7 linked regions of the Macaca mulatta genome follow. The protein of the gene in region 6 purifies or fractionates together with the protein of the main gene of each other region. This does not show direct contact. Links are inferred from orthologs where the notes say so. Each region holds a gene or a part of one and is shown on either strand. Other genes may lie near its edges.

The links.
Region 1: the proteins of HDAC1 (region 6) and TRPS1 purify together in Homo sapiens (co-immunoprecipitation; 3 studies listed by BioGRID and IntAct, with this or other methods). This does not show direct contact. The link is inferred for Macaca mulatta from reciprocal best matches to the Homo sapiens genes HDAC1 and TRPS1.
Region 2: the proteins of HDAC1 (region 6) and PWWP2A purify together in Homo sapiens (co-immunoprecipitation; 5 studies listed by BioGRID and IntAct, counting the BioPlex papers as one, with this or other methods). This does not show direct contact. The link is inferred for Macaca mulatta from reciprocal best matches to the Homo sapiens genes HDAC1 and PWWP2A.
Region 3: the proteins of HDAC1 (region 6) and ZMYM2 purify together in Homo sapiens (affinity purification with mass spectrometry; 7 studies listed by BioGRID and IntAct, counting the BioPlex papers as one, with this or other methods). This does not show direct contact. The link is inferred for Macaca mulatta from reciprocal best matches to the Homo sapiens genes HDAC1 and ZMYM2.
Region 4: the proteins of HDAC1 (region 6) and KDM5A purify together in Homo sapiens (co-immunoprecipitation; 4 studies listed by BioGRID and IntAct, counting the BioPlex papers as one, with this or other methods). This does not show direct contact. The link is inferred for Macaca mulatta from reciprocal best matches to the Homo sapiens genes HDAC1 and KDM5A.
Region 5: the proteins of HDAC1 (region 6) and EHMT2 purify together in Homo sapiens (co-immunoprecipitation; 7 studies listed by BioGRID and IntAct, counting the BioPlex papers as one, with this or other methods). This does not show direct contact. The link is inferred for Macaca mulatta from reciprocal best matches to the Homo sapiens genes HDAC1 and EHMT2.
Region 7: the proteins of HDAC1 (region 6) and VBP1 purify together in Homo sapiens (affinity purification with mass spectrometry; 3 studies listed by BioGRID and IntAct, with this or other methods). This does not show direct contact. The link is inferred for Macaca mulatta from reciprocal best matches to the Homo sapiens genes HDAC1 and VBP1.

Annotation. Positions count from the first base shown.
Region 1 is NC_133413.1:125,971,339-125,974,838, reverse strand, and holds part of TRPS1 (zinc finger transcription factor Trps1), read left to right. Parts: intron 1-1,508; coding exon 1,509-2,638; intron 2,639-3,500. UniProt on the Homo sapiens protein: Transcriptional repressor. Binds specifically to GATA sequences and represses expression of GATA-regulated genes at selected sites and stages in vertebrate development. Regulates chondrocyte proliferation and differentiation.
Region 2 is NC_133411.1:168,981,767-168,985,937, reverse strand, and holds the start of PWWP2A (PWWP domain-containing protein 2A), read left to right. Parts: upstream 1-1,371; 5' UTR 1,372-1,408; coding exon 1,409-1,992; intron 1,993-2,878; exon of another isoform or gene 2,879-4,115; intron 4,116-4,171. UniProt on the Homo sapiens protein: Chromatin-binding protein that acts as an adapter between distinct nucleosome components (H3K36me3 or H2A.Z) and chromatin-modifying complexes, contributing to the regulation of the levels of histone acetylation at actively transcribed genes.
Region 3 is NC_133422.1:1,840,430-1,844,363, reverse strand, and holds the start of ZMYM2 (zinc finger MYM-type protein 2), read left to right. Parts: upstream 1-1,134; 5' UTR 1,135-1,227; intron 1,228-2,468; exon of another isoform or gene 2,469-2,868; intron 2,869-3,681; 5' UTR 3,682-3,750; intron 3,751-3,934. UniProt on the Homo sapiens protein: Involved in the negative regulation of transcription.
Region 4 is NC_133416.1:1,160,124-1,163,623, forward strand, and holds part of KDM5A (lysine-specific demethylase 5A), read right to left. Parts: intron 3,106-3,500; coding exon 3,028-3,105; intron 1,179-3,027; coding exon 1,056-1,178; intron 1-1,055. UniProt on the Homo sapiens protein: Histone demethylase that specifically demethylates 'Lys-4' of histone H3, thereby playing a central role in histone code. Does not demethylate histone H3 'Lys-9', H3 'Lys-27', H3 'Lys-36', H3 'Lys-79' or H4 'Lys-20'.
Region 5 is NC_133409.1:150,415,598-150,419,603, reverse strand, and holds the start of EHMT2 (histone-lysine N-methyltransferase EHMT2), read right to left. Parts: upstream 2,801-4,006; 5' UTR 2,780-2,800; coding exon of another isoform or gene 2,738-2,779; 5' UTR 2,668-2,737; coding exon 2,025-2,667; intron 1,927-2,024; coding exon 1,708-1,926; intron 1,620-1,707; coding exon 1,366-1,619; intron 484-1,365; exon of another isoform or gene 405-483; intron 1-404. UniProt on the Homo sapiens protein: Histone methyltransferase that specifically mono- and dimethylates 'Lys-9' of histone H3 (H3K9me1 and H3K9me2, respectively) in euchromatin.
Region 6 is NC_133406.1:208,542,809-208,546,108, reverse strand, and holds the end of HDAC1 (histone deacetylase 1), read left to right. Parts: coding exon 1-86; intron 87-653; coding exon 654-762; intron 763-855; coding exon 856-986; intron 987-1,265; coding exon 1,266-1,418; intron 1,419-1,876; coding exon 1,877-1,925; intron 1,926-2,194; coding exon 2,195-2,222; 3' UTR 2,223-2,800; downstream 2,801-3,300. UniProt on the Homo sapiens protein: Histone deacetylase that catalyzes the deacetylation of lysine residues on the N-terminal part of the core histones (H2A, H2B, H3 and H4).
Region 7 is NC_133426.1:161,513,092-161,516,591, forward strand, and holds part of VBP1 (prefoldin subunit 3), read left to right. Parts: intron 1-690; coding exon 691-815; intron 816-3,500. UniProt on the Homo sapiens protein: Binds specifically to cytosolic chaperonin (c-CPN) and transfers target proteins to it. Binds to nascent polypeptide chain and promotes folding in an environment in which there are many competing pathways for nonnative proteins.

The sequences.
Region 1 (3,500 bases), on a different chromosome or scaffold from region 6:
CATTGCCTAATGCGAAACATTACATCCTTTGATTAAAGGCTGTGGGAAACTTTTGTAAGTTCCTATCTTAATGTACAGTAAATGTTGAGTTGTTTATGTATTAATGCACATTTCTTAGAACTATAATACTGGATATGAATTTAGAGGTTGCCCCAGTTGAAGAAGCTATTGGCCAGAGAGGTTAAGTAACTTGATCAAGGTCACATCTCTTTTTAATAGCAAAAAGAATACTTCAATCTTAGTCCTGTACAATAGAGGTACAAACATATCTCTCAGTGTACTACAGCAATATTATTTGCATTTCACATAGAGCCTTTACATGATTTTGAGATGCCTGAGACTTTTCTCATGGAGTGATTTGGATATGAACAGCAATCACACGTGTCATTTTTGAACAGCTGTTGAAGAAGGCAGAACATGATTATGCCACTTGCTTAATATATTACATCTGGTTGCTGGGAAAATTTAAAAATTCCTTGGTGGTTGGAAGAGAATTTTTTCCCCCCTTTTTGGAGTATTTCATTCAAAAACTCTATTTTAAACTCTGAATTTTGGCTGCTCAGTGGTGGCTTAATTGTACTCCTGTTGAGATACACACTGAGAATGGAGGAAGGATTTTACGTAAAGTGCCCTTTGAAGGCTTTCATAGTCCTGATTCCATGTAATTTCATAATTTGGGAAAGAAAGCAGAGCTGTAGTTATTTTTATGATGGAATTATTTTATTTTGCCATTCAAACATCTCCATGACCTACTCATGTGAGAAGTTGGGAGCCCTTTGCAATGAAACAGAACCGTAATCAAATAAGGCCCTGGAAGATTTTTCTTTTTTGTTTGTTTGTTCTAGATTGGGAAACATTCAAAATTCTTTATTTACATGGTTCTTCTTCACTAGTATTTCCTGCATACTCAATTCATCTTTTTGTTTGTTTGTTTCACTGAGCTTTAATTATAAGCCATTTTGGGTGGTCATTTGAGCACCTGTATTTTACCTAAAACAGAGACCTCATCTTTGCCTGCAGCCTCATTGCTGTAGGAACTGAACAGAATATTTCATTGGAGAACATCTGCCTTGAGTACTTTTTGAGCAAGTGCCTCTAGTTTTGACAGTAACGCCTCACCTTTTGAAAAGAAATCCCATGTGATTAGGATGCTTCTGTAGGGGTGTGATTTGAAGGAGGCAATAGTAAAACGTACTGTGTTGAAAATTGTTTTCTTAGTTTAAAAAATGTATTATTCAGTCTTTCAAATTATGGTACATTTATTACTTACCCTCACCTGTTACTTTGGCCTACAGTGTATAACATAATGAGCCTCTCAAAGAGTAACTGTTGAGAAATGAAGAGTGAATTTATTTGGCTCTGTGATTATTCAAGTGATTTCATAATAAGCAGGAGTACTATTGTATTTTTTGATGTGGAATACTTGGCAGTACCCTCCCCCTCCCCTGCAGAGGACCCATTGAATTAATGACACCTCAGAAGTAAAGTCCATTTCTTCTTTTCTCCAGGTGACTTCAGGTGGAACATTCATTGGCATTGGACGGAAAACACCAGATTGCCAAGGAAACACCAAGTATTTCCGCTGTAAATTCTGCAATTTCACTTATATGGGCAACTCGTCCACCGAATTAGAACAACATTTTCTTCAGACTCACCCAAACAAAATAAAAGCTTCTCTCCCCTCCTCTGAGGTTGCAAAACCTTCAGAGAAAAACTCTAACAAGTCCATCCCGGCACTTCGATCCAGTGATTCTGGAGACTTGGGAAAATGGCAGGACAAGATAACAGTCAAAGCAGGAGATGACACTCCTGTTGGGTACTCAGTGCCCATCAAGCCCCTCGATTCCTCGAGACAAAATGGTACAGAGGCCACCAGTTACTACTGGTGTAAATTTTGTAGTTTCAGCTGTGAGTCATCTAGCTCACTTAAACTGCTAGAACATTATGGCAAGCAGCACGGAGCAGTGCAGTCAGGCGGCCTTAATCCAGAGTTGAATGATAAGCTTTCCAGGGGCTCTGTCATTAATCAGAATGATCTAGCCAAAAGTTCAGAAGGAGAGACAATGAGCAAGACAGACAAGAGCTCGAGTGGGGCTAAAAAGAAGGACTTCTCCAGCAAGGGAGCCGAGGATAATATGGTAACGAGCTATAATTGTCAGTTCTGTGACTTCCGATATTCCAAAAGCCATGGCCCTGATGTAATTGTAGTGGGGCCTCTTCTCCGTCATTATCAACAGCTCCATAACATTCACAAGTGTACCATTAAACACTGTCCATTCTGTCCCAGAGGACTTTGCAGCCCAGAAAAGCACCTTGGAGAAATTACTTATCCGTTTGCTTGTAGAAAAAGTAATTGTTCCCACTGTGCACTCTTGCTTCTGCACTTGTCTCCTGGGGCAGCCGGAAGCTCACGAGTCAAGCATCAGTGCCATCAGTGTTCATTCACCACCCCTGACGTAGATGTACTCCTCTTTCACTATGAGGGTGTGCATGAGTCCCAAGCATCAGATGTCAAACAAGAAGCGAATCACCTGCAAGGATCGGATGGGCAGCAGGCTGTCAAGGAAAGCAAAGAACACTCATGTACCAAATGTGATTTTATTACCCAGGTGGAAGAAGAGATTTCCCGACACTACAGGTGAGTCAAAGGGGGGTAGGTCAGGAGGAATATACAAATAAAATAATAGAAAAAATCCACAGAAAGAGGGCTGAACCAGGAATTGTTGGGAGTGATTCCGATGACTTGGGGAAGTTATAGGAGAAGACCACATAAAAGATCATCACAGATTTGCAGGTGGTATAGTTATAGCTGTGATCACTGTAGACTTTAATTTGGTTCCTTCTTTTGGACTGTATGCTCATGTTTGATACTTGTTTTATACCATTTACTGATTGTCTTTTTAAATTCACAGTGATTCTAATAATGCTGATGAGTTTACTAATTTATCATAGTCCATTTATTTGTCCTTACTAAATATGACTCCACATCCTATATTTCTTTGACAGGGCAACTCCCAAATGAAAGTTACTATTGTAAATATATCCTATTCTCTATTCTGAGAAAAAATTTTGAGAACCTGTTGCTCATTTTTATTTTAAAATGAGATTATATATTCTTCTAGCTTTGAACAATTCTGCAGCATCCTTGTTTGGCATATAAACAGTAATCTAAAGGTGAGAATTTTTGTAATATGTGTGATTTTGGATGTAGACTTGCTCCTCCAAGTAGGTAAAACTGCTTGAGTTATTCCAGATTCTTAAATGGATGTGGGATGTTTGTGTTTTCCTTCTGCTTTCACTCTATTCTCTTTATAAACATTAACTTTCCCAGTTAATCTTTTATAATATCTAGAGATAAGTATAGGATATGTATCTTTATTTCATTGATGCATTCATTCTTTACTTAATTAATGTCAAAACTCCTATTGTACCAGGCATTGAATGAATATAGAAGAGAAGACATAGTCAGTGCCCTCATGGAACTTATAGTTTAGTAGGAA
Region 2 (4,171 bases), on a different chromosome or scaffold from region 6:
CATTTTACCAGCCGAGTAACCTTGGGCACCCTCTTTGTGCCTCGAAATTTTAAGGATTGAGATGATATGCTATAGTGTTTGTATTAGTGCCTGGTACATGGTACTTAAAAGACACTAGCTGTAATTATTCTTCAGGACTTTATTTTTTTTACTCTCAATGCTAGCAGCTTTTCTTCCCTCTCTCCTGTAGGCATTCTCCCAGAAAAAAGGCTGACTCTGAGGTGCCATTTGAGAGAAATAGGTTCAGTAGATTCTTCCAGAGATAACAAACGAAGAGACTTGACGTGAGAGTAAGAGAAGTAGGGGCGTTAGGACACTGAAGTGAGAGAGCTTCTTCTCTTGGCATTGGAGAAGCCAGGAAACATAAAGGCTTTTGCAGGGATCAGGTGCGTCCACTTTGCAGTGTATTTGGAGAGAACAAGCAGTGTTCACATATCAGTCCAGCAATGTCTCAAGACTCTTTTCTGGAACAGTCATCAGTTTAATCCAGTGAGGATGGTGTCTCTCCTCTTTCATGAGCATTTTCCTATTTTTGAAATGTTAGTAAGTAGGTGCTTTGTTCCTAGGAAGTGGAGAGAAGTCAAGGAAAATACTCATCGTACTCCTAGAAGTCAATGAAAACACTCCTCGTACTCCTTATGGCAGCTGGAGTGGCTGCCGTGAGCCAGCTGCCATGAGGTTATGGAGAACGTCTTGAATATTCTATTCCCCAGCACCTAGTGCAGTGACTAGCATAGTAGGCACTCAAAAAGTGTCGGTAGGATTATATTTCAAACTTTAGTTGTCTTTCCCAGAGAAGCCTGTCGTGCCCACACGCGGTCGCAAGAAGTCCGCGCCTAGAAATAACATTTATTCTAAGGATCTCTGCGCAGAGATTCTTGGGAAGCGGTTCCCCTCCCACATTCCCTAGTTACTCCTCCCCTCGGCGCCTTTGAAAGAAATAGCACGCCACATGATTCCCTCCTTTCTCCCACCTCCGAAGACCTGACTGATAATGGGCAGGAGCGTAAGCCAACCATAAAACTTTATTTCCTCTTCCAGCCAATAGCAAGAGGGGATGAGTATATGGCTCCTCTTTTGTGACTTCCCCCGCCCCCTTGGATTACGCCCCCTATTCCTCCACTCAGATTCCACACTTGACAACACATCTGGCCAATGAGAAGTTCCTACTCTGCGTGGGAAGGATGGACTGACTAGATGATAGACGTCCACCCCTGGCCAATGGAATATCACAAGTGCGGGAGGGGTGTAGAATGGAACCAATGGCGAGGTGCCAAAAACGAGCATCAGGGAAAGGGCGGGACGAAAGTGTTCGCGGGAGGGAGGGGAAGGCCCAGGGAACCAAGCAGCGCTGCCGCCGCCGCCGCCGCTGCAGCCGGAGTTGGAGGAGGGAGAAGCCAGGAAGAAAATGGCGGCCGTGGCTGCAGAGGCGGCAGCGACTGCAGCGTCCCCCGGGGAGGGGGGCGCCGGCGAGGCCGAGCCGGAGATGGAGCCCATCCCCGGCAGTGAGGCCGGCACTGACCCCCTCCCGGTCACGGCCACTGAAGCGTCTGTGCCGGATGGCGAGACCGACGGGCAGCAGTCCGCTCCTCAGGCCGACGAACCGCCGCTCCCGCCGCCACCGCCGCCGCCGGGGGAGCTCGCCCGCAGCCCAGAGGCGGCGGGGCCGGAGCTGGAGGCTGAGGAGAAACTGTCCGTTCGGGTGGCGGAGTCGGCTGCAGCCGCGCCTCAGGGAGGGCCCGAACTTCCACCTTCTCCAGCATCGCCACCGGAGCAGCCCCCGGCACCCGAGGAGCGCGAGGAGCCGCCGCTGCCTCAGCCCGTAGCCCTGGCGCTCGTGCCGCCGGCGGGCGGGGTTTCCACGGTGTCGCAACTGATCCCGGGCTCGGAGGTGCGGGTCACGCTGGACCACATCATTGAGGACGCGCTCGTCGTGTCGTTCCGCCTCGGGGAGAAGCTCTTCTCCGGGGTCCTCATGGATCTGTCCAAAAGGTACCGCTCCCGCCCCCAGCACGCTCCGGTCCGCTGGGTCCCCAGGGAGGGAGTGAGCCCGGGGGGCCCCCTCTCCCCGAGCCCTCGCTTCCCTGCTGCCCGGGGCCCCGCCCTCTGGTCCTGCGCGGCGCGTGGCGCGCGCTCCGAGTGGGGCAGGCGCGCGAGACCGGGAGAGGGCGGTCCCGGCTCCAGGTGGGCGCCTGCGGGGCAGGTGTGCCACCAGGTGGGAGGGCGCGGGTGCAGATGGGCTCACAGGTCTCACCCCTCACTCCTGGCCTTCTGCGACTTGGCCTGGACTCACCGGCACTGGGCGGGTGGGTTAATGCAAGATGCAGATGGATTATTGCAGAGAACGGCGTGTTGGACAGGGGGAGGGAGGCAATCCTTGCGAGGAGGCACTTGTCTGTCCTCAAATCAACGTTTAACTTTAGCAGGGCTGGAGAAAGGGGTGTGTACATTGGGGATCCCAAAAGGTTACCTGTCACTCCTTACAGGGGGAAGAGCATTTGTTAAAATGAACCTTTTAACTGTGATTCTTACGGTTAGAAGTCATTCCCGTTAGGTTAACCATTCAATAGAGAAGCATATTTTACTAATTTTAATGATAGTTTTAAGAAAAGTTTAAAGAAGAGATTGGAGATTTCAAAAAATCCTTTAATGTCAAGGTGGTGTAGCATAAAAATGTTCAAATAACTTCTAACACCTGGGATACCGTTTATATACTAAGGACAAGAAGGTTGAGTTCATCTACAAATTTGGCTTAACCAGCACATTTTCATTTTTTGATTTAAAATGTTTTTGGGCTCTGCTTTAAACAGGGGAATAAACCTGTTCTAAATCTGGAGTTAACCTTTTTATTCTCTTCTTTTGCAGATATGAAGTGCAGAGACTCCCATTCACGCCTTTCCATTCTGTTTCCTACAATAGCGCACACTCTGATGGTATCTCACCTGTTTGCCATGGCTTATTAGTATGTTTTACTCTTAAACTGCTTGCTTTCCCATCAAGACACAGGAATCCTTCTTTCCCATTTGGGGAAAAAAGCCATTTAAAATTTCATATTAAAGTATGGTGTTTGCGGCGGGAAGATGAGAGCAGTTACTCTGTATTATTTAATCTCAAATATCTTTTTTTTTTTTTTTGAGACGGAGTCTTACTCTGTCCCCCAGGCTGGAGTGCAGTGGTGCCATATCGTCGCACTGCAACCTCTGCCTCCTGGGTTCAAGCGATTCTCCAGCCTCAGCCTCCCAAGTAGCTGAGACTCCAGCCTCAGCCTCCCAAGTAGCTGGGACTCCAGGTGCGCGCCACCATGCTGGTTTAATTTTTGTACTTTTTAAGGAGAGACAGGTTTTCACCATGTTGGCCAGACTGGTCTTGAAATCCTGACCTCAGGTTATCCACCCGTCTCAGCCTCCCAAAGGGCTGGGATTACAGGCATGTGCCATCATGCCAGGCCTCAAGTATCTTTTTTAAAAATAATTTTGGATTAGGGCATTTGCACTTCTGTTTATGTTTGTTTGTTTACTTATTTAATAGAGACGGGGTCTTGCTGTGCTGCCCAGGCTGGTCTCAGACTCCTGGGCTCAAGCGATCCTCCTGCCTCGACCTTCCAAAGTGCTGAAATTACAGGCATGAGCCACTGCGCCCGGCCTGCACTTCTGTTTTCATAATTAGAAAGCAGAATAAGGTGAGTGTACTTTCTATTGATGTATTTTATTTATTTACTTATTTTTTTTTTGAGACGGAGTTTTGCTGTTGTTGCCCAGGCTGGAGTGCAGTGGTGTGATCTCAGCTCAGCTCACTGTAACCTCCACCTCCTTGATTCAAGCGATTCTCCTGCCTCAGCCTCCCAAGTAACTGGGGGCTAATTTTGTATTTTTAGTACAGATGGGGTTAACCATGTTGGTCAGGCTGGTCTCAAACTCCTGACCTCAGGTGATCCACCCACCTTGGCCTCCCAAAGTGCTGGGATTACAGGCATGAACCACCTCGCCCGGACTCTGTTAATGTATTTAATAGTGAGAGACACTCAGTGGTGTGTATGCTGTTGAATGAAACAGAAGAGATGGCCAGTGATTGTGTGAGAATCTGGATTTCAAATCTGCAAAAGGAAGGTGCAGAAGGTAAGTTGATTTTGGAAATGGAATGGATAAGTGCTCATTGTGTTAGTGCTTTATTT
Region 3 (3,934 bases), on a different chromosome or scaffold from region 6:
GTTTATTCACTTAGCATAATGTCTTTAAGGTTTGTCCATGTTGTAGCGTATATCAGAACTTCACTCCTCTTTATGTCTGAATAATGTTCCATTGTATGGATGTACCACATTTTGTTTATCCATTCATCAGTTGATGGACATTTTAGGGATGTTGGAAATTATGAATGCTGTTATGAACATTCAAACATTTATTTTTAAAATTACTTTTATGTAAAATTAAGTCTGCTTTTAACATTATGACAAATACTTTTTTCCCAGTTCTAAATTCTCAACGAAAATTCTCCCTGGTATCAGACTAGCAAACCAATGAAGAGTTTCATGGACAAATGTACCTGAATGAACTAAAAAAGTGCATATAAATACCATAATTAGCACAGGTGCTCATTAGTTATATAAAACAGCAATAACACTAGGGAATTAGTAGCAGTATAGAGCTCCAACTGAACAGTACATGGCAACCTAATCTATCATTTAAGTTTATCACAGAGCTTATTTGGAAGTATGTCTACTTTACTCTTCTAAATATAAACTCAATGAGCTGAAGCTACTGCAATACGAGCTGGCAGCAGAAAAGGGATGGTGCAAGTTTTCACCAAATTATTACAATTTGGTAGTAGAGGATGTGTCTGTTTTGATGATAGTGGCTGTTTTTGTTGTGATGTTTCTGTTGTGATGATAGTTTTTCAGTCTAAAACAGCACTGTGTAATATAAAATCTTAAGAGGCTATTTTAGTGTATTTAAAACTAAAAAATTTTAGTTACAAAAGTTTCCTAAAAATTAGTGATACTTTTTGAAAAGCTGGTTCAAGTACATTTTATTAATTTTTTTCAATAGAAAAGAACAGTGTATTCAAGGTATTTAGTACAAGGTGGAAAGCCTACTTTATTTTTCAATGAGTGACTGAATTCAACTTCTACTAGATTTCCTCTGTGAAGTTGCGTCTATTAAACATCAGTCTTTCATGGGTGATTAACTTCACTGAAAACTTCATGTTCATCAATATCGTGTTGAACTTGAAACTGTATTACCATACATCTGTTTATTAATAGGCAATGGTGTCAGATAATGGTGAAATGGAGAAGTCGCCCATCCATTTGGGTGGGAAAATAACCAACACCCTCAGTTGTAATCCCACTAAGAACCGCCAGGGCGAGAAGCAAGCGGCACCGCTTCCATCTTTACGTGAGTCTTGGAAATGGTTCAGCACCATGACGTCCGCCGAAGACGTAGGTGTAGACGAGGAACAAAAGAGAAGACCCCTCGTGGAGGTGGCCTGTGGGGCCCGCCCTCCCCGGGCGCCGTCGCCGTCTGTCCCTGACTCCGCTCCCCCGGGGGCCGCAGCGAGTGCGCCCCGCGATGGAGCGGGCTGTGGAGGGAGCCTCCATGGAGTCTCCATCAACAGTTGAGGACCAGGAGACGGTGGCAGGCGGTAGAGCGGCCTGGGCAGGGCCAGCGCCCCGGGCTGCGGAGCACAGGACGGCGGCGCCCAGGGACGCCCCAGGGCGGGCCTCGGCCCCTCCAGCCGGCGGGAGCCCAGCTCCAGGGGAGCCCGTAGCTCCCTCCATCTTGGTTGATGGAGGCGGGGAGCGGCGTCTGGGTCTCTCCACCGTCGTGCCCGTCCCCTACGGCCCCGCGGACGCAGACGCCAGCAGCCGGGGCTGTTCCCTTGGCCGAATGGCAGAGCCCAGTCGGGGCTTCCCGGGGACAAGTTTCCCGGCCCCACGGGGTTTGGTTTTTAGGGGGTCCCAAGTTCCCACAGTCGTGCCGACAAAATGGAGGACGTCGTCTCCTCCTGCTGCAGCCATGGCGGGAGGTGGGGGACTATTCCCCACGGGGCGCGGCGAGGGTGGAAGGGCCTCCACTGCCCCCAGCGCAGTCAGGGCTCCAGTTCGCCCGCGGCCCCGAAAGCCCACTCGGCCCCGCTCCAGCGCCTCCCCGGCCTCGCCCCTCGCAGGGGCCTTCAAGGAACTGGACAGGGAGGGCGATGGGGCATCGAGGCCGCGGCTCTCCTCGGGCAGGGGCGTTGGGAGCCGCTGCCGCGGCCTGGGCGCCCAGGCTCGGGCGAGGGCAGGCGGCCCCGCCGGAGTCTCCCGGGCTGTCTAGGTCCCGGAGAGCCCCGGGCCCTGAGGAGCCGAAGCGGGGTCGGTGCGGCGGGCAGCGAATCTCGGGCTCCTGACCCTGGCAGACCCGGTGGGTGGGGGCGGGGGACCGGCGGGGAGGGGACCCGGCCGGGAGTCGAGGGCCGGCGGAGGCGGGAGTGGAACGGCAGGGCCGGGGGAGTGGCCCGCACCTGACGGACAGCCCTTCGGACCACCCCACCGAGGGGGGGCCCTGAAGGACTGCCGTTGGAGCCAATGGGCAAGCCCGAGGCGCTCCGGCCCGCCTCCCCCGTCAGCCAATGAGCGCGCGGAGGGCGGGGCCTCCCCGGGCTCGGCCGCGCCGCCGCCTCCTCCGCCTCCTCCTCCTCACCAGCGCTAAAGCCGGGACTGGACCGAGCGGAGTTGTGCGTGTCGCCGAAGGGGGGTGGGCCGGGGGAGGGGAGGTTCGCTCCGCGGAGCCGCAGCCAGAACCGGGTGAGGCTTATCCCCGCTGTCTTTCCAGTCCGGGGCCGCCGAGAGTGGGGGTGGCTGGGAGCAGCGCAGCCTCCGGAGGAGGAGGCGGAGGCGGAGGCGACTAGGGAGGCGGAGATGGGTGAGGGCAGCCTCCGGAGCCTCCCACCGACCCGGGATTAATACCCCGCGGCGCGGCCGCCGTCGCCGCTGCCGCGTCGGGGCCTCGGGGGCAGCTCGGGGCTGCGCTCATGTCACAGGCGCCTTCGCGTGCGGCCCGAGGGGCTGGGAGAGTGCGGGCGAGGCCGGGAGGGCTGGGTGAGGCGGCCGCCAGCGGCGGGGGTCGCGGGGCCGGCGGGGCGGCGGGACGGCGGGGCGGGGGTGCCGGCCGCCCGGGGAGGTCGCGGGGCATTTTCCTTTCTCTCCTGCGGGGGGCGGGGGAGGGGCGCCCCGGCCGGGTCTCCGCGCTCGGGGCCGCGCTCCCACCCTGTCCGCCGGAGCCGAGGTCCCCAAGTTTTTCGGGGTGAGGGCTGCCGCCTCTGCCCCGCCGGGTCCCCTCCTTCGCTCTTCTCTTCCTCGGCGCTGCGCTGCGCGGCTCTTGCTCCGCACGTATTGTTTGGCTGGGTCTCTAATGGCGGACGGGGAGGCAGCGCTGCCGGTCGCCGACTGCAGGGGGGGGCAAACCTCGGGCCCAGGGCAACTGCTTGGGGCAAATGTGGGCGATATCGGCCCAGCGGTGACGCGAGCCGCCCCTTACCTCTGAATTGGTACTTGGAGTGACGGGGATGACGCTGGGTGGGCGAATTTAGGAGGGAATACAAATCCCTTGCTGGCGTCGAGGCAACGTTTTCCCTTCCCCCCTCCCTTCCCGGGAGCAGGCTCGGTGTCCTCAGGCCCCCTCCTTTCCAGATTTTGCCTTTCACATGGGTTTTGGCCCCAGATATACATTTTGCGCTGTTTTGCCCCACTTACGCAGGAGGGGGCTATTGTGCGCGTGGTGGGGTAATAATAGAAGAACCGAACCTCCTTGACCTCTTATTCCCTTCTCTGCCTCCTTCTGGCAGAAAGGGTTGGTTTCTCCCACCAGGTTGTGTGTTCTTGATACATTTTTCTTTTTTCCTCCTGTCCCAGGACCAAGAATCGCCTTCAGCCCTGTCCGGTGCATCCTTGGCAGAAAGTGAGGAGGAAAACACCCCCATTGTGAGTCCCTTGCCCCTAATTTGTTGCTAATAGAGGACATTGTCAGGTTGTAGGGGTTCAGCTACGGGACCTGGCCCTCCCAGTTGTTTTGAGGGGGAGGAGCTTTCCCTTGGGTGGCAGCTGCCCCCAGGGCGAAGCCTGGGTAATGGCTGGTGAGGCAGCTGGGAGTGGGCGCTGCTGTTTC
Region 4 (3,500 bases), on a different chromosome or scaffold from region 6:
AAGTGCAGTGGTGCAACCACAGCTCACTGCAGCCCTGACTTTCCGGACTTGCGATCCTCCCACCTTAGCCTCCTGAGTGGCTGAGACTACAGGTGTGCACCCACGCCCAGTTAGCTTTTCTGTATTTTCAGTAGAGATAGGGTTTCAGCATGTTGTCCGGGCTAGTCTCTTAACTCCTAGGCTCAAGTGATCCTCCCTCCTAAAGTGCTGGGATTACAGGCATGAGCCACCGTGCCTGGGCCAAATTTTCAATTAAGTAACAAAAAAGGATGACAAGCTCAACACAGAACATTGTACACTCAACACAAGATAATATTAGCAGGCTAGAGTAATTTATTTTGCATATTGTATATCACAGAGCCTGATAAATTTTTTTTTTTTTTTGAGACGGAGTCTCGCGCTGTGTCACCCAGGCTGGAGTGCAGTGGCACGATCTCGGCTCACTGCAAGCTCCGCCTCCCAGGTTCACGCCATTCTCCTGCCTCAGCCTCCGAGTAGCTGGGACTACAGGCGCCCGCCACCACGCCCGGCTAGTTTTTTGTATTTTTAGTAGAGACGGGGTTTCACCATGTTAGCCAGGATGGTCTCGATCTCCTGACCTCGTGATCCACCCGCCTTGGCCTCCCAAAGTGCTGGGATTACAGGCTTGAGCCACCGCGCCCGGCCGAGCCTGATAAATATTAATATTTGGTAATTACATATTAATCTCAACAAATATAAAATAACTTTTAAAGATAACTTTGAGATCTCTCATTTCCATTTATTCAAATGTGCATTTCATTGTCCTTTTTGAGACAGAGTTTTGCTCTTGTTGCCCAGGCTGGAGTGCAATGGCGTGATCTTGGCTCACCACAACCTCCGCCTCCCGGGTTCAAGCAATTCTCCTGCCTCAGCCTCCCGAGTAGCCGGGATTACAGGCGCCGCCACCACACCCGGCTAGTGCATTTCACTGTCAAACAAATCCTCCACTGGAAGCAATGTTTACCACCAAACGTATTTGATATTCCTAAATTGACAAGCCTGTGCTCTAATTTCTAAACCAGTATAAGCCTCACCTTGCTCAAAGCATAGAGATCCAGGATTTTTCTCTCTACCACAGGGATCTTCAGAGTAGATCCTTGAAGCTCCCAAAATTTTGCTAGTTGATCCAAGAAATCCAGTCTCACTCTGGTCATTGCCTGAGATTAAAATACAGAAATAAAAACTAAGATTATTAAAATACAGAAATAAAAACTAAGATTATTAAAATACAGAAAAACTAAGATTATTAAAATACAGAAATAAAAACTAAGATTATTAAAATACAGAAATAAAAACTAAGATTATTAAAATACAGAAATAAAAATAAAGTTACGATTGAAATGAACGAGGACAACAGAGCAGGGGTCCCCACCCCCCGGGCCACGGACTGGTACCCGTCAGTGGCCTGTTAGGAACCCAGCCGCACAGCAGGAGTGAGCGGCGGCAGCAGGCAAGCATTACCACCCACTCTACTGTGAACTGCACATGAGGGATTAAGGTTGTGCGCGCCTTTTGAGAATCTAATGCTTGATGATCTGAGGGGGAACAGTTTCATCCCAAAACCATCCTCCATACCCCCCTCCATCCATGGATAAACTGTCTTCCATGAAACCAGTCCCTGGTGCCAAAAAGGTCTGGGACCACTGTAATAGAGGTATTCATTTCTCTAAAGAAATTCAAAGACTTTTCATTATTGCTTATTTCAACCCGGTAAAACTAGCCAATAGTAAAACTAGCCAAAAATAAAGAGGCAAAAGACTTCTAATAAACTGTATTTATTCAGGCAAAAAGGTCACTCTGATTTATGTAAAAAGTTGTCATATTAGCAACCAAAACAATTTTTGTAAGTTGGTTTAACTTTATGCTGATCAGAAAATTCAGTAAATCAGATCCTCCTCAGTCTCTAACATTCTGTCATTTCATCCATAGGTAACATGCACACTTTAGGTGCATCAACTCTATACCTCACTGATACTAATATTCTTTGTCAAGCATCTAATTACAAGACTAAAAAGAAAAAATATGTATTGCGGCCAGGCGCGGTGGCTCATGCCTGTAATCCCAGAACTTAGGGAGGCCAAGGCAGATGGATCACCTGAGGTCAGGAGTTCCAGACCAGCCTGGCCAACATTACAAAACTCCATCTCTACTAAAAATACAAAAATTGGCCAGGCATGGTCGTTGTAACCTCAGCTACTAGGGAGGCTGAGGCAGGAGAATTGCCTGAACCCAGGAGGTGGAGGTAGAAGTGAGCCAAGATCGTGCCACTGTACTCCAGCCTCGCTGACAGAGCGAGACTCTGTCTCAAAAAAAGAAAAAAAAAAGTATGTATTAAACTCTCAGAAATATTTTGGGGGGGGGGGAACACTTCAGAATGACATAATAAACCTTTGCTATCAATAATTTTCCTTCTGTACTCTAAAAGTTTTCATATCACAATGAAAAACCTTCTGAAAATCCGCAGACAGGAAAAACAGCAATACATAAATAGACTTCCATTTAGATAATTTAATATACATTAGTAATGCTTAAAGGCAGATCTTAATAAATCAGATTAGCACTCCTGGCAAAGTTCCATTAAAACCAAAACCAAAACAAAACAAAACTAACTTTGAAAACTAGGGTTTTAAAACATAATTTAAAAATCCATTTTCCAAGAATGAAGGGAGACAGAAATCTTCGGAGATTAACAAAACTTTTAGTAGAGTAAGAAACACTAGAGAAAGTAGAATTTAAGAATTCTAAGCATTGAAGCTAAACATTGAACATTTCCACTAGAACAACAGGGCTAGAGACAGTTTCTCATGATCTCAGTTAAACGGAGAAACCATAACTACTTTGCACAATTTTTTAAAAAATCACACTCTTCCTCCAAACATCAAGTAACTATTCAATACCAATTAACACAAACTCCAGGCTGTGGTCCATGAGCTTCTCAAAGTTCTCTACCTACAGCCCGAACACAAAGAATGAATCAGGAGGCAGAAACGGTGACAAAACACTTACCTCAAGTTCATTCAGGCGCTGGACTCTTGGAGTGAAACGAAAGCTTTTTACTTCACAGGCGAATGGAGGCTGCCAGTCCTAAATAGAAAGTTTTTTTAAAAAAAACACAGTGGTATTTAAGCAAGGAATGCGTTATTTATTCCCTTAAAGGGGGGTTTTGCCATAATCACGGTGCTAATAGACTAACTTATAAGACTTCTTTATTATAGAGACAGAATGAGCAATTCTTTTAGATAAAATAATTTTAATACAGGTTGAGTATCCCTCATCTGAAATGCTTGGGACCAGAAGTGTTTTGGATTTCAGATTTTTCCATATTTTGGAATATCTGCATATACATAAGGAGGTATCTTGGAGAGAGAAACCAAGTCTAAATACAAAATTATTTTGTCTCATATAGTTATACACATAGCCTAAAGGTAATTTTATGCAATATTTTTAATAATTTGGTGCATAACGCTTGTGTACACTGG
Region 5 (4,006 bases), on a different chromosome or scaffold from region 6:
CAAGTCACGCCCAGCCTATTGTTATAATCATGCTATTATGTTATTGTTGTTAATCTCTCACTGTACCTAATTTATAAATTCAATTTTTCTTTTCTTCCCTATTTTTTACAAAATGAACTGCAACTATAAAAATTAACGTTTATCATAGTGAGAAAGGAAAAGTAGCTCATAGCAATCTGTGCTATGCGAAGCAGGCAAAATTTATCAGGCTCAGAGAGAAGTGAGTATGGAACCTAATTAGGGCCCATGCCTGGAGGCAACTGCTTAAAGGCATTTTGTATCTGACTAGGGTGCTGCTTTACCCATTATCTTCATGTGCATAGTATCTGTGAGACAAAGAACAATGTATAGCAGATCAATAGCTTGTTATTCTAATGTAAACTTCTGGTAAACAATTTAGGAACTGCCTCTTCTTTTCCTTTATGTTTTATTTTTTCAATATTTTAAAAAATTTTTATCTTTTTTTTTTTTTTCTTTTTGTGGCTCCTTCCAGAGCAGGGCTAACTCCTAGGCAGTGTGCCCAGAGTCAGCCTGTTTTTTTTCAATATCTTCATGTCATCCAATCTTCTTTTCCTTTAAAAACCTACTTGTGGGCTGGTTGTGGTGGCTTGCACCTGTAATCCCAGCACTTTGCGAGGCCAAAGCAGGAAGACTGCGGAAGCCCAGCAGTTTGAGACCAGCCCAGGCAACATAGTGAAACTGTCTTCAAAACCAAAACACAACAAACAAACAAACAAACAAACAAACAACCCTATTTGTAACCGCTGCTAATCAGAGTGTATTTTCAGGGCAACTTGAATCTTTGCTCCTGAAGGCTGTCCTCAAAACCTGCCCAAATATATTCTACTTAATGTTAAGTTTGCCTCAGTTTTTTTCTTTAGGTCAACAATTGGTATGACCCAGTAACCCTAGAGCTTGGTCATAAAGCTTCTGGGCCTCTGGGGCCCTTGCCACTTCCCTCCTCTATTATTTCTGTGGCCCTCATCTCCTTTCCCACTGGGATTCCCATGAAAAACTTTACAAATAGAGCAGTGACAGTTGAGTTCCCCAAGGGCTTGCTTTGAGGTAGAAAGGAAGAGTGGTTTGAAATTCCCTTACCTTGTCATTATCATAAGAGTAATTAAGACATTAACTATATAATTGACTCTTTAACATCAAACTCTCACCACCCAAGAATGTAAACTGCAGAAAGAGAAGAACCTGTCTGTTGGTTCACAGATTAAGCACAGCCTAATATTTGATACACAGTAGCCCCTCGTTTAAACATGTGAATGAGTAAATGGAGTAGAAGCCTTACATGAAACTGTAAAAGAGCTCTCACCAAAGGTTTATGGTTGATTATCCTATCTCTCCCATCCCACTCACCTGTCCATTTCCTGGTTTGGACATGGTTTTGCGGGCTCGGTGGACCTTGGGCTGTCCCTCTGGGCTAGTGGTGGCTGGAGGGGGTTCAGGCCCTGCTGCTGCAGCTCCCTGGGCTCCCGGCATACTCAGCAGCCTCATAGCCAAACTCTGGACAGATGGAGGTGATTTTCCCGCCCCTGTCATTGACATCTTGGCCCGGCTAGGACACGAACCCCCCTTGCTGGGGGAAGAGGGGAATGACTTTGTGGCATGGCCTAAAAAACAGGCAAGTAGAAGGCAAGATAAGAAGGAAAGCAGAGTCAGAAACTTCCCACCCACCCCCCAGGCTACCCAGCCTCTCACCCAGCAGGATCCGGCCCCCATGGAGGTCCCCATCTCCCTCAAGATTCTCGGATTCATCCCCAATGAGTGGTGTAGCCCCTACAGGGGTGTCAGCCCCCTCATCGCCAACAGTGACAGTGACAGAGGCTGGAGATGAGGGGCCAGCAGGCTCCAGGGAGTCGGGGGTGGCCTTGGGCAGGGTCTCTTCACTACGAGGGGTGTCCCCCAAAGAGCCATGAACTGTAGAGGAAGAGAAAAAGTTCAGAGCTAAGGGCTCCGGAGATCCTGTGTCTAGGGAAGGTGACGGTCCAATTGGGGCCCGTTTTAGCTGCACTCACCTCTCTCGGTGGCTCCTCTGGTTTCCTTCTCCAGCAGCAGCGCCCCCATCTCAGCGGGGGCCTCCCCCTGGGAGGGGAGACAAGGGACAGGAGGGCTGGTCAGCCCAGTAGAGAGTTGGGGGGTCCAGGATGCCTGGGCCCTGGGAAGAGAGAGTAGGCTCCGGGGCCTACCTCTTCCTCTATGGGGCCCCCCTCTTCCGCGGCCTCGGCTGCCCGGAGGGGCCGCACGACCCCTCCCCCGGGCCCGCATCAACCCCCTCCCTCTCGGTAGACCCCGCATCTCTGGGGCCGAGAGAAGAGGAGGGGGAGGGGGCGGGGCCTCCGTGCCCCGGCCCCGCCCCCTCCTCCCGGCTGCACGCGCCGCTCCCCCTTTGTCCCCCAGGCCGCGGGGACCCCGGGCACCAACCCCTCCAGCACCCGCTGCCCCCCAGCCCGGTGGACGGCCCCTCGTGCCCCTCACGCGTGCTCCTGGGGCCCCGGCGCCCGCCGCCCACTCAGGGGCAGCCGGCGGCTGCACGCGCGCCTCCGTGCCCACTCCCCCCACCTCCCACCCCCTGGTCCCCTCATCCGCCCCCGGTGCTGGCCCCCCGGATTGCTGGAAGTCCCGCCCGGGCCCCCCGGCCCCGTTGCACCCCCGGAGCATTGCACGGGCGCGCGCTTCCCCCGGGCGCGCGCGCGGGCATGCACCCGCCTCTCCCCCTCCCCTTCCGCACCTCGGCGGCCGCCGCCGCTGCAGCTCCCGCCGCCGCCGCCATCGCCGCTTGCGCGGGGGGCCGAGCCGGCGCGCGGCCGCCCCGGGTCACGTGGGCGAGGGAGGGAGGGCGAGGAGGAGCCTTAAAGGAGCCGCTACACGCTTTCTGGCCATTTTCCCCTGACAGCGGCTTCGGAGATGGCTGTGACTGTCCTAAGCTGGGAGCTGCAAGGGAGAATTCCTGTCATTCCTGGCCTCAGCTCTGCAGGGACCGAGGGCGAGGCACGCCTGGGCCTAGGTGTGGCGTCTCTGTCCCCATCTGGTTTTAGGTAACAAGCGGAGCTTCTGAACCTCCCGGCTCTCGGCAGCGGCTGTATTTCCTCTGGCCTGCTTGGGCTTTTCCCGCCTCTGGTTGCTTTTCTGCCTTTCTAGTTTTTGGGTTACCAGATAGAAGGCTCGGCCTCAGTTTTGGCCTCGCCTTTCTAACGAGCAAGAAGAGGGCGATAGGGACGCGGAGGACACCTTTGTTCTTGGCTGCTTCTAGCATATTGCTTCATGTCCCCTGGAGCAGCGTGCCCTTTTGAAAACCTGTGGCAAAATGTCTCTTCTGTTTATATCAGGCGTGTTACACCTCCACACGCATTAGGGATCCAGGTAAGCCCAGCGGCCCGAACGTCATTACTGACTGGTGACACTGCAGTAAGTAAACCTTTTTTGCCGAACACTTCATAAGCACAGTCAGGTACTCCGTGGGTCATAGCCCAGCGGACACTTTAAGTATAAATGATGTACACCAAGATAGACAACCTCGATAGCTGTATTTAGGGTACCATCCTTTTAGGTATTACGTTTTGGTCGAGTTAGAAAATATCTGTATGATTTCACACGCAGTATTTGACACAGGCAGGTGGGGCACCTGAGGCCAATTCAAGGCCTTCTGGGAACTGTAGTTCTCTTTGGTTAACTATTCCAGAGCTTTCTGGGAATTGTAGTTTTTCCCTGCACCTTAATCCAAACTTAGCTTTTTTTTTTTTTTTTTTTTTTTTTTTTTAGCTTTCCTGAAGACATGAACCATTTACCCCAGACAAAATATGACCAACACAGATTCCTGCTTACAATTTCCGTGGGCAGGTTGGCCACCTGTAGCTCATCCCTAGCACTGATCTAAGTCCCTCAAATAGAGTTCATGTGCATCCCCACGACTGCCATCACTTGTACCGTGAAGTACCTGGCTAAGTGTTGAGATAGCAGAACTGATGGAAGGCTGGGGGCGGGGACTTGGGGGAGTCCC
Region 6 (3,300 bases):
GGGAGGTGGTGGTTACACCATTCGTAATGTTGCCCGGTGCTGGACATACGAGACAGCTGTGGCCCTGGATACGGAGATCCCTAATGGTAATAGCTGCAGGGCCAGGTTTGGCTGGGCTGGGTGGGAGCTGGAGCTCATCTGTCCTTAAGTTTATAACCCCTTCCCCGTTGGTCATATGACCACTGTTCTTCTGATACTAGTCACTGAGTCCCCTGCATGTCCTCTTGTGATCAGCAGACCATAACCATCACTTTTTCCCTAGTCCTTTTTAGCTCTGTCCCCTCTCCCTTCTGCTTTTGGTCTGGACAAAGTTCTCAGTGGTAATTTACAGCTTTGGAATTTCTGCTCTGTAGAGTAACTGGAGTAGTGAGTGAAGGGAGCGTTCATAATGAGCATGGGCTCAAGTGTCCTAAACCAGGAACATGGACCTTCTCCTAGCGACATATACACCACTGGTATAGACATAGAGTGATGTTAACAAGATGGAAATCCCATAGGTACCCGTGTCTCACCGTGTCTTGGAGGCATTCTCCTCTGTTTGACAGATGGATCAAGGGCCCAGAGAAACCTACAAATGCTTTAGGGTGCTTACGTGCAAATGGTTCAGGTGCGGTGGCCAGGTCTCTTAACGGTCTTCTCCCTGCCCCAATCAGAGCTTCCATACAACGACTACTTTGAATACTTTGGACCGGATTTCAAGCTCCACATCAGTCCTTCCAATATGACTAACCAGAACACGAATGAGTACCTGGAGAAGATCAAGTGAGTATATCCTCCAGCCACCCCTTGGTTGAACATTCCTGACTTTGGTTTGTCCCTGACCAGAGCCCTGCTACTCTCTCCCACTGGCCACAGACAGCGGCTGTTTGAGAACCTTAGAATGCTGCCGCATGCACCTGGGGTCCAAATGCAGGCGATTCCTGAGGACGCCATCCCTGAGGAGAGTGGCGATGAGGACGAAGAAGACCCTGACAAGCGCATCTCGAGTAAGACCTAGACGCAGAGCCCTATGCCTTCCACTCAGTAGGCAGCCCCCACTTCCACCACCATTCCTGGCTGCACACTCTCCAAGCTCCCCACCTTGGAGAAATCTGTTTCCAGTTCCAGTGCCTGTAGGAACAGGTTAGGGAGCCTGAGCTCCTCCCTCTTCTCTGGTTCCCTTTCCCTTGGTGTCTCTTGGAGGGCCTGCAGGGAAGCACTGGGCATAGATGCTGAGCTAGATCGGCACCCGCCTGCTCTCACCCATGCTTCCCACTCCCTCCCAGTCTGCTCCTCCGACAAACGAATTGCCTGTGAGGAAGAGTTCTCCGATTCTGAAGAGGAGGGAGAGGGGGGCCGCAAGAACTCTTCCAACTTCAAAAAAGCCAAGAGAGTCAAAACAGAGGATGAAAAAGAGAAAGACCCAGAGGAGAAGAAAGGTGGGTTTGGGTTCAGCCGGGACTTGGGTCTTGAGCCTGAGAGGATGAATCTATGTAGGGCAGTGGGAGGAGGGAGTGACTCAGGCCCTGCCAGCTCCTGTGGGGCTCTTCCTCAGTTCCTTGAGCCTTTCAGTGTCTCCCAGAAGTGGCAGGGCCCACAAAACAACGAACCTCTACTGGCCAAGCACGGCTCTCACATACCACCCAAGCCCTTTTCCCAGCACTGCACCCCAGTTTCCCAGGGGGCTGCCTCCGCCCACCAGATTCTGGCTGTAGCAGGCTGGGAAACCGGTCCAACCTGTTCTCTACAGGGCTCACTGGGAAGACCAGGGATGGGCTTTTCTCTCTTTTATGTCCAGTGAGCGTAGTGTTGGGGAAGGGGTCTCAGGGTAAATGAAGACCTCACGGGTCTTTCCAGAGGTGCTGCCCTTAGCCATCCCTGTACTCTTGTGTTCTAGAAGTCACAGAAGAGGAGAAAACCAAGGAGGAAAAGCCAGAAGCCAAAGGGTGAGGAACGAGCTGCCTGCAGCCATCTCCCTGGCATTGGAGCACCAGCCCCTTTGTCCCACTACTCTGAAGAAAGGCACAGGGACAGCTGGTCCAGCTTACAAAGGCCTCTTTCAGGGACCAGTCTGTCCAGCTCTGCAGTTCTAGGCAGAGCTAGGAGCCCCAGCCCCCAGTAGTCACCTGGGATCCTGTGGAAGTCACTGTGTCTGCACTTTTGCCCCGAGGCTCTGGGCTGGGTCATCTCATGCCAGTCTCTGCTCTCTCCACAGGGTCAAGGAGGAGGTCAAGTTGGCCTGAACAGACCTCTCCAGCTCTGGCTCCCTGCTGAGTCCCTCACCTTTCTCCCCCAACCCCTCAGATTTTATATTTTCTATTTCTCTGTGTATTTATATAAAAATTTATTAAATATAAATATCCCCAGGGACAGAAACCAAGGCCCTGAGCCCAGGGCAGCTGTGCTGGGTGAACTCTTCCAGGGGCCACATTGCCACCCATTCTTCCCCAGTTCTTAACTTTGAACCATAAAGGGTGCCAGGTCTGGGTGAAAGGGATGCTTTTATGCAACCGTAAGACAAAATCCTGAAATGCGAAGTGCCTGCTTAGTAGCTTTGGAAAGGTGCCCTTATTGAATATTCTAGAAGGGGTGGCTGGGTCTTCAAGGATCTCCTGTTCTTTTCAGGCTCCTAAGGTAACATCAGCCATTTTTAGATTGGTTCTGTTTTCATACCTTCCCACTGGCCTCAAGTGAGCCAAGAAACACTGCCTGCCCCGTCTTCTCCTAATTCTGCAGGTGGAGGTTGCTAGTCTAGTTTCCTTTTTGAGATACTATTTTCATTTTTGTGAGCCTCTTTGTAATAAAATGGTACATTTCTATATCCTCCTGAGCTTGTTTCCTACGTGTCATTGGGTTGGTTTCAACTCTTACTTCCCTGCCCTTCTGGTGTCCATGAGTATTGGGGCAACCCCCTGAACAAGAAAACCCCATAAACTTACCTGCCTGCCTTAACTCCTCCCTTGAGGTTTGAGGTGAACTACTTTCCACCAATCTTCTCACCCTACCCCCAGAAGACCACTCATTAAAGCACCACTAAAGGGACGACATTTATTCCTTTTCCAAATGTTACAGTAAAACCAGGTGGAAGAGAATGGTTTTAGCAGTTAGAAAAAAAAAAAAAGTACAAATCTGGGGTTTGGCCATTAAAAGTTATTTACAACAATGGGAGAAAAAAAGACAACAAGAAGTTGTTTCACATTACAGACCTCCCCCCACCCCAAAGCCTAATACTTGCTTACCAAGTCAAAAAAGAGACACAGTTGATTCACAAGCTGGAGGTTTGAACTTGAGTAAGACATTTATAAAAACCTAGACGGGGCA
Region 7 (3,500 bases), on a different chromosome or scaffold from region 6:
GTGGATTGCCTTGGGAACCCAGTAACCATATTTAGTATGATTTCTATGGCAAAACTTGTTGAATTAAAAATAAGTAATAAAATTGATAATCTTGACATACAACCTGTAAAATCATTTTGTGAATAGGATGCATGAATAGGCAATGTATTTGATTGTTAGTATTTTCATATTTACTACTAGGGATGCATGGGAAATGCATAAATGGTGGGCAAAGTCATTCTTCTTTTCCTATTTATAAATAAAAAATGAAGAGGAAAGTGAAAGAATAAGTTAGCTATATAATATATATATACGGTCTGAAATTGTCTCTAACTTTTTATAACTACAAGTTGAGCATCCTAAATCTGAAAATCTGAAATCCAGAATGCTCTAAAATCCAAAACTTTTTGAACACCAATATAATGCTCAAAGGAAATGCTCATTGGAGCATGTTTGACTTTGGATGTTTGGCTTGGGGATGCTCAACTGGTATAATGTAAATATTCCAAAATCAAAAAAAAAAATCTAAAATCCAAAACAATTCTGGTCCCAGGCATTTTAGATAAGGATGCTTAACCTGTACTTTTAGTTAAAAACAAACCTTTGGAGGAAAAGCTGTTTTTCTTTTATGTTTTAAAAACAAAGCAGTCAAAAAATCTGATGAGTGGCATGAATTCTAAAATTTGTAAAGTATTATTTCTGATATTAAAGGAAGATGTAGATTCCTTCATGAAACAGCCTGGGAATGAGACTGCAGATACAGTATTAAAGAAGTTGGATGAACAGTACCAGAAGTATAAGTTTATGGAACTCAACCTTGCTCAAAAGAAAAGAAGGTAAGTGTAAAACTTTCTAAGTTTTGAAAATCGTATATGGCTTGAACTTTAAAAAAATTGAGATATAATTTACATATGATAAAATATTCAGATATCAAGTCCTCCAAGGTGGCTGTACCATATGAAATTCCCACCAGCAATGTACAAGAGTTCCAGTTCCATATCCTTGCCAACACTTGGTATTGCCAGTCTAAATGTGGTTTTGAAAACATAATAGAATGGTTATTAAAGACTGTATTCCAAAGCTTTCAAAATCATAACATCTTATATGTCTAGTTTATCCTTCTAATTTTGCCAACAAGATTAGAGACCCACAGGGTCTGGGGCACAAGACTTAATTAGTTATGAAATCCCAAGATTTCATAACTAATAGGCATAGGAAAAAAGGTATCCTTACTCTCAACTCTTTATTTCCCTACATAATTTTATATAGCTTATAAAGTCAATTCACTGTAATAAATATTTGTAGATCTCTGTTTTGTACATGTGCCAGCATTCTTCTGTGAGATAAATATTTATGGAATGCCAGCTAGATGCCACATACTGTTTTGGGTGAAATAACATCCAGTATCTGCTTTCAACAAGGACACAGGACTGGGCATGGTGGCTCAAACCTGTAATTCCAGCACTTTGGGAGGCTGAGGTGGGAGGATCTCTTGAGTCCAGGAGTTCAAGACTAGCCTGGGCAACTTAGGGAGACCCTGTCTCTACAAATAATTAAAAAATAATTAGGCTGGGCGCGGTGGCTTGTGCCTGTAATCCCAGCACTTTGGGAGGCTGAAGTGGGCGGATTGCCTGAGCTCAGGAGTTTGAAACCACCCTGGGCAACATGGTGAAACCCCCGTCTCTACTAAAATACAAAAAAATTAGCCGGGCATGGTGGCACGGGCTTGTAATCCCAGCTACTCGGGAGGCTGAGTTGGGAGAATCCCTTGAGCCCGGGAGGTGGAGGTTGCAGTGAGCCGAGATTGCGCCACTGCACTCCATCTTGGGCAACAGAGTGAGACACTGTCTCAAAAAAAATAATAATAATAATAATTAGCTGGGTATGGTGGCATGCACCTGTGGTCACAGCTACTCTGGAGGCTAAGGTGGGAGGATCACCTGAACCCAGGACGTTGAGGCTGCAGTGAGATGTGATCATGCCCCTGCACTCCAGCCTGGGCAACAGTGCGAGATCCAGTCTAAAAAGCAAACAAACCACACAAAAAACCAGGGACACAGGTTGGGGGGAAATTATAGGTATATAAATAAAATTAGCACACAAAGTAGAGCAGTGGAGGTACTTCGGTACAAAGTAATGAGTTACAGGGGATGGTAACTCATTACTTTGTACCAAAACACCTCATTAATCTGGAGGGGCCAAGGAGGTTCAGAGGAAGCTTCTAAGAGGAACAGATACCTGTGTAGAATTTCAAAGATTAGTTATGAGTTTGGAGGCAGACTAAAGTGAGGAAGGGTGGTCTGGGCATAAGGCACCATTTATGCAAAGGTACAGAAGTTTGTAGATGTATTTTCTCATTTGATTTTGGTGACAGTTGTAGAAATTTGAATATGTACTTTGTATTAGATGAGATGAAAAGTCATTGACATGGAAAGATGGAGGGTGTAAATGGACAGAAGCAAGATAGAAATCATTAAGAACAGTATACTCTTATTTTGGAAAAAAATGTATATATGCACAGGAGTATCTAGAGAAGTCCACACTAAAGGCATATTAACAGTGGTAATCTCTGGGTAGTTAGAATATGGCATTTTTCTTGTTTTTGCTTATCTGTATTCTTAATTTTTTACAATGTACATGTACTGCTTTTGTGATAGTAAAAGTTTATTTGAAAAAGAAAAAGCCATTGGATTTGAGATCATCTACAGGGAGGTTACAGATAGAGAAGAAAATGTGCCTTGGGGTGGGGTGCAGTGGTTCATGCCTGTAATCCCAGCACTTTGGGAGGCTGAGGTGGGCAGATCACTTGAGCCCAGGAGTTCAAGACCAGTGTGGACAACGTGGCAAAACCCTATATCTACAAAAATTAGCTAGGTGTGGTGGTGCATGCCTATAGTTCCAGCTACTAGGGAAGCTGAGGTGAGAGTATTGCTTAAGCCAGGGAGGTTGAGGCTGCAGTCAGCTGTGAGTGTGCCACTGCACTCCAGCCTGGGCAACAGAGTGATACCCTGTCTCAAGATAAAAAAAAAAAAAAAAAGGAAAAGAAAATGAGCCTTGGTACCGAGTCCTGGGAGAGAGGGAAATTTGTGTATCAAAGTTACATTGCTCTTCTAACTAGTAAATTAATGATAGACGAAAAAAAAAAAAAAGAAAAAAGTTATATTGCTAACTCTACAACTGTGGTATATAGCAGGATACTCACTCTAGCTTAACATATGGTCTAGGCCTAAATGTGGGGAGAAGGGGTAAAAATTCGAAGCACTGAGGAAGCATCAGTGAACATTGGTGTTCTGGATGAGAACAGTGTTTGTCTAGTGTTTTAAAAGAGAATGGTAGAGTTGGAGATAGTGAGTTAGGAAAACTTTCTTGAGTTTTACCTATTTTAATAGTGGGTTGGTTATTTTTTTGAGACAGGCTTTCTCTCTGTTGCCCAGGCCAGAGTGCAGTGGTATGATCACAGCTCACTGTAGCCTTGACCTCCTGAGTTCAAGCAGTTCTTCCACCTCAGCCTCCCAAGTAGT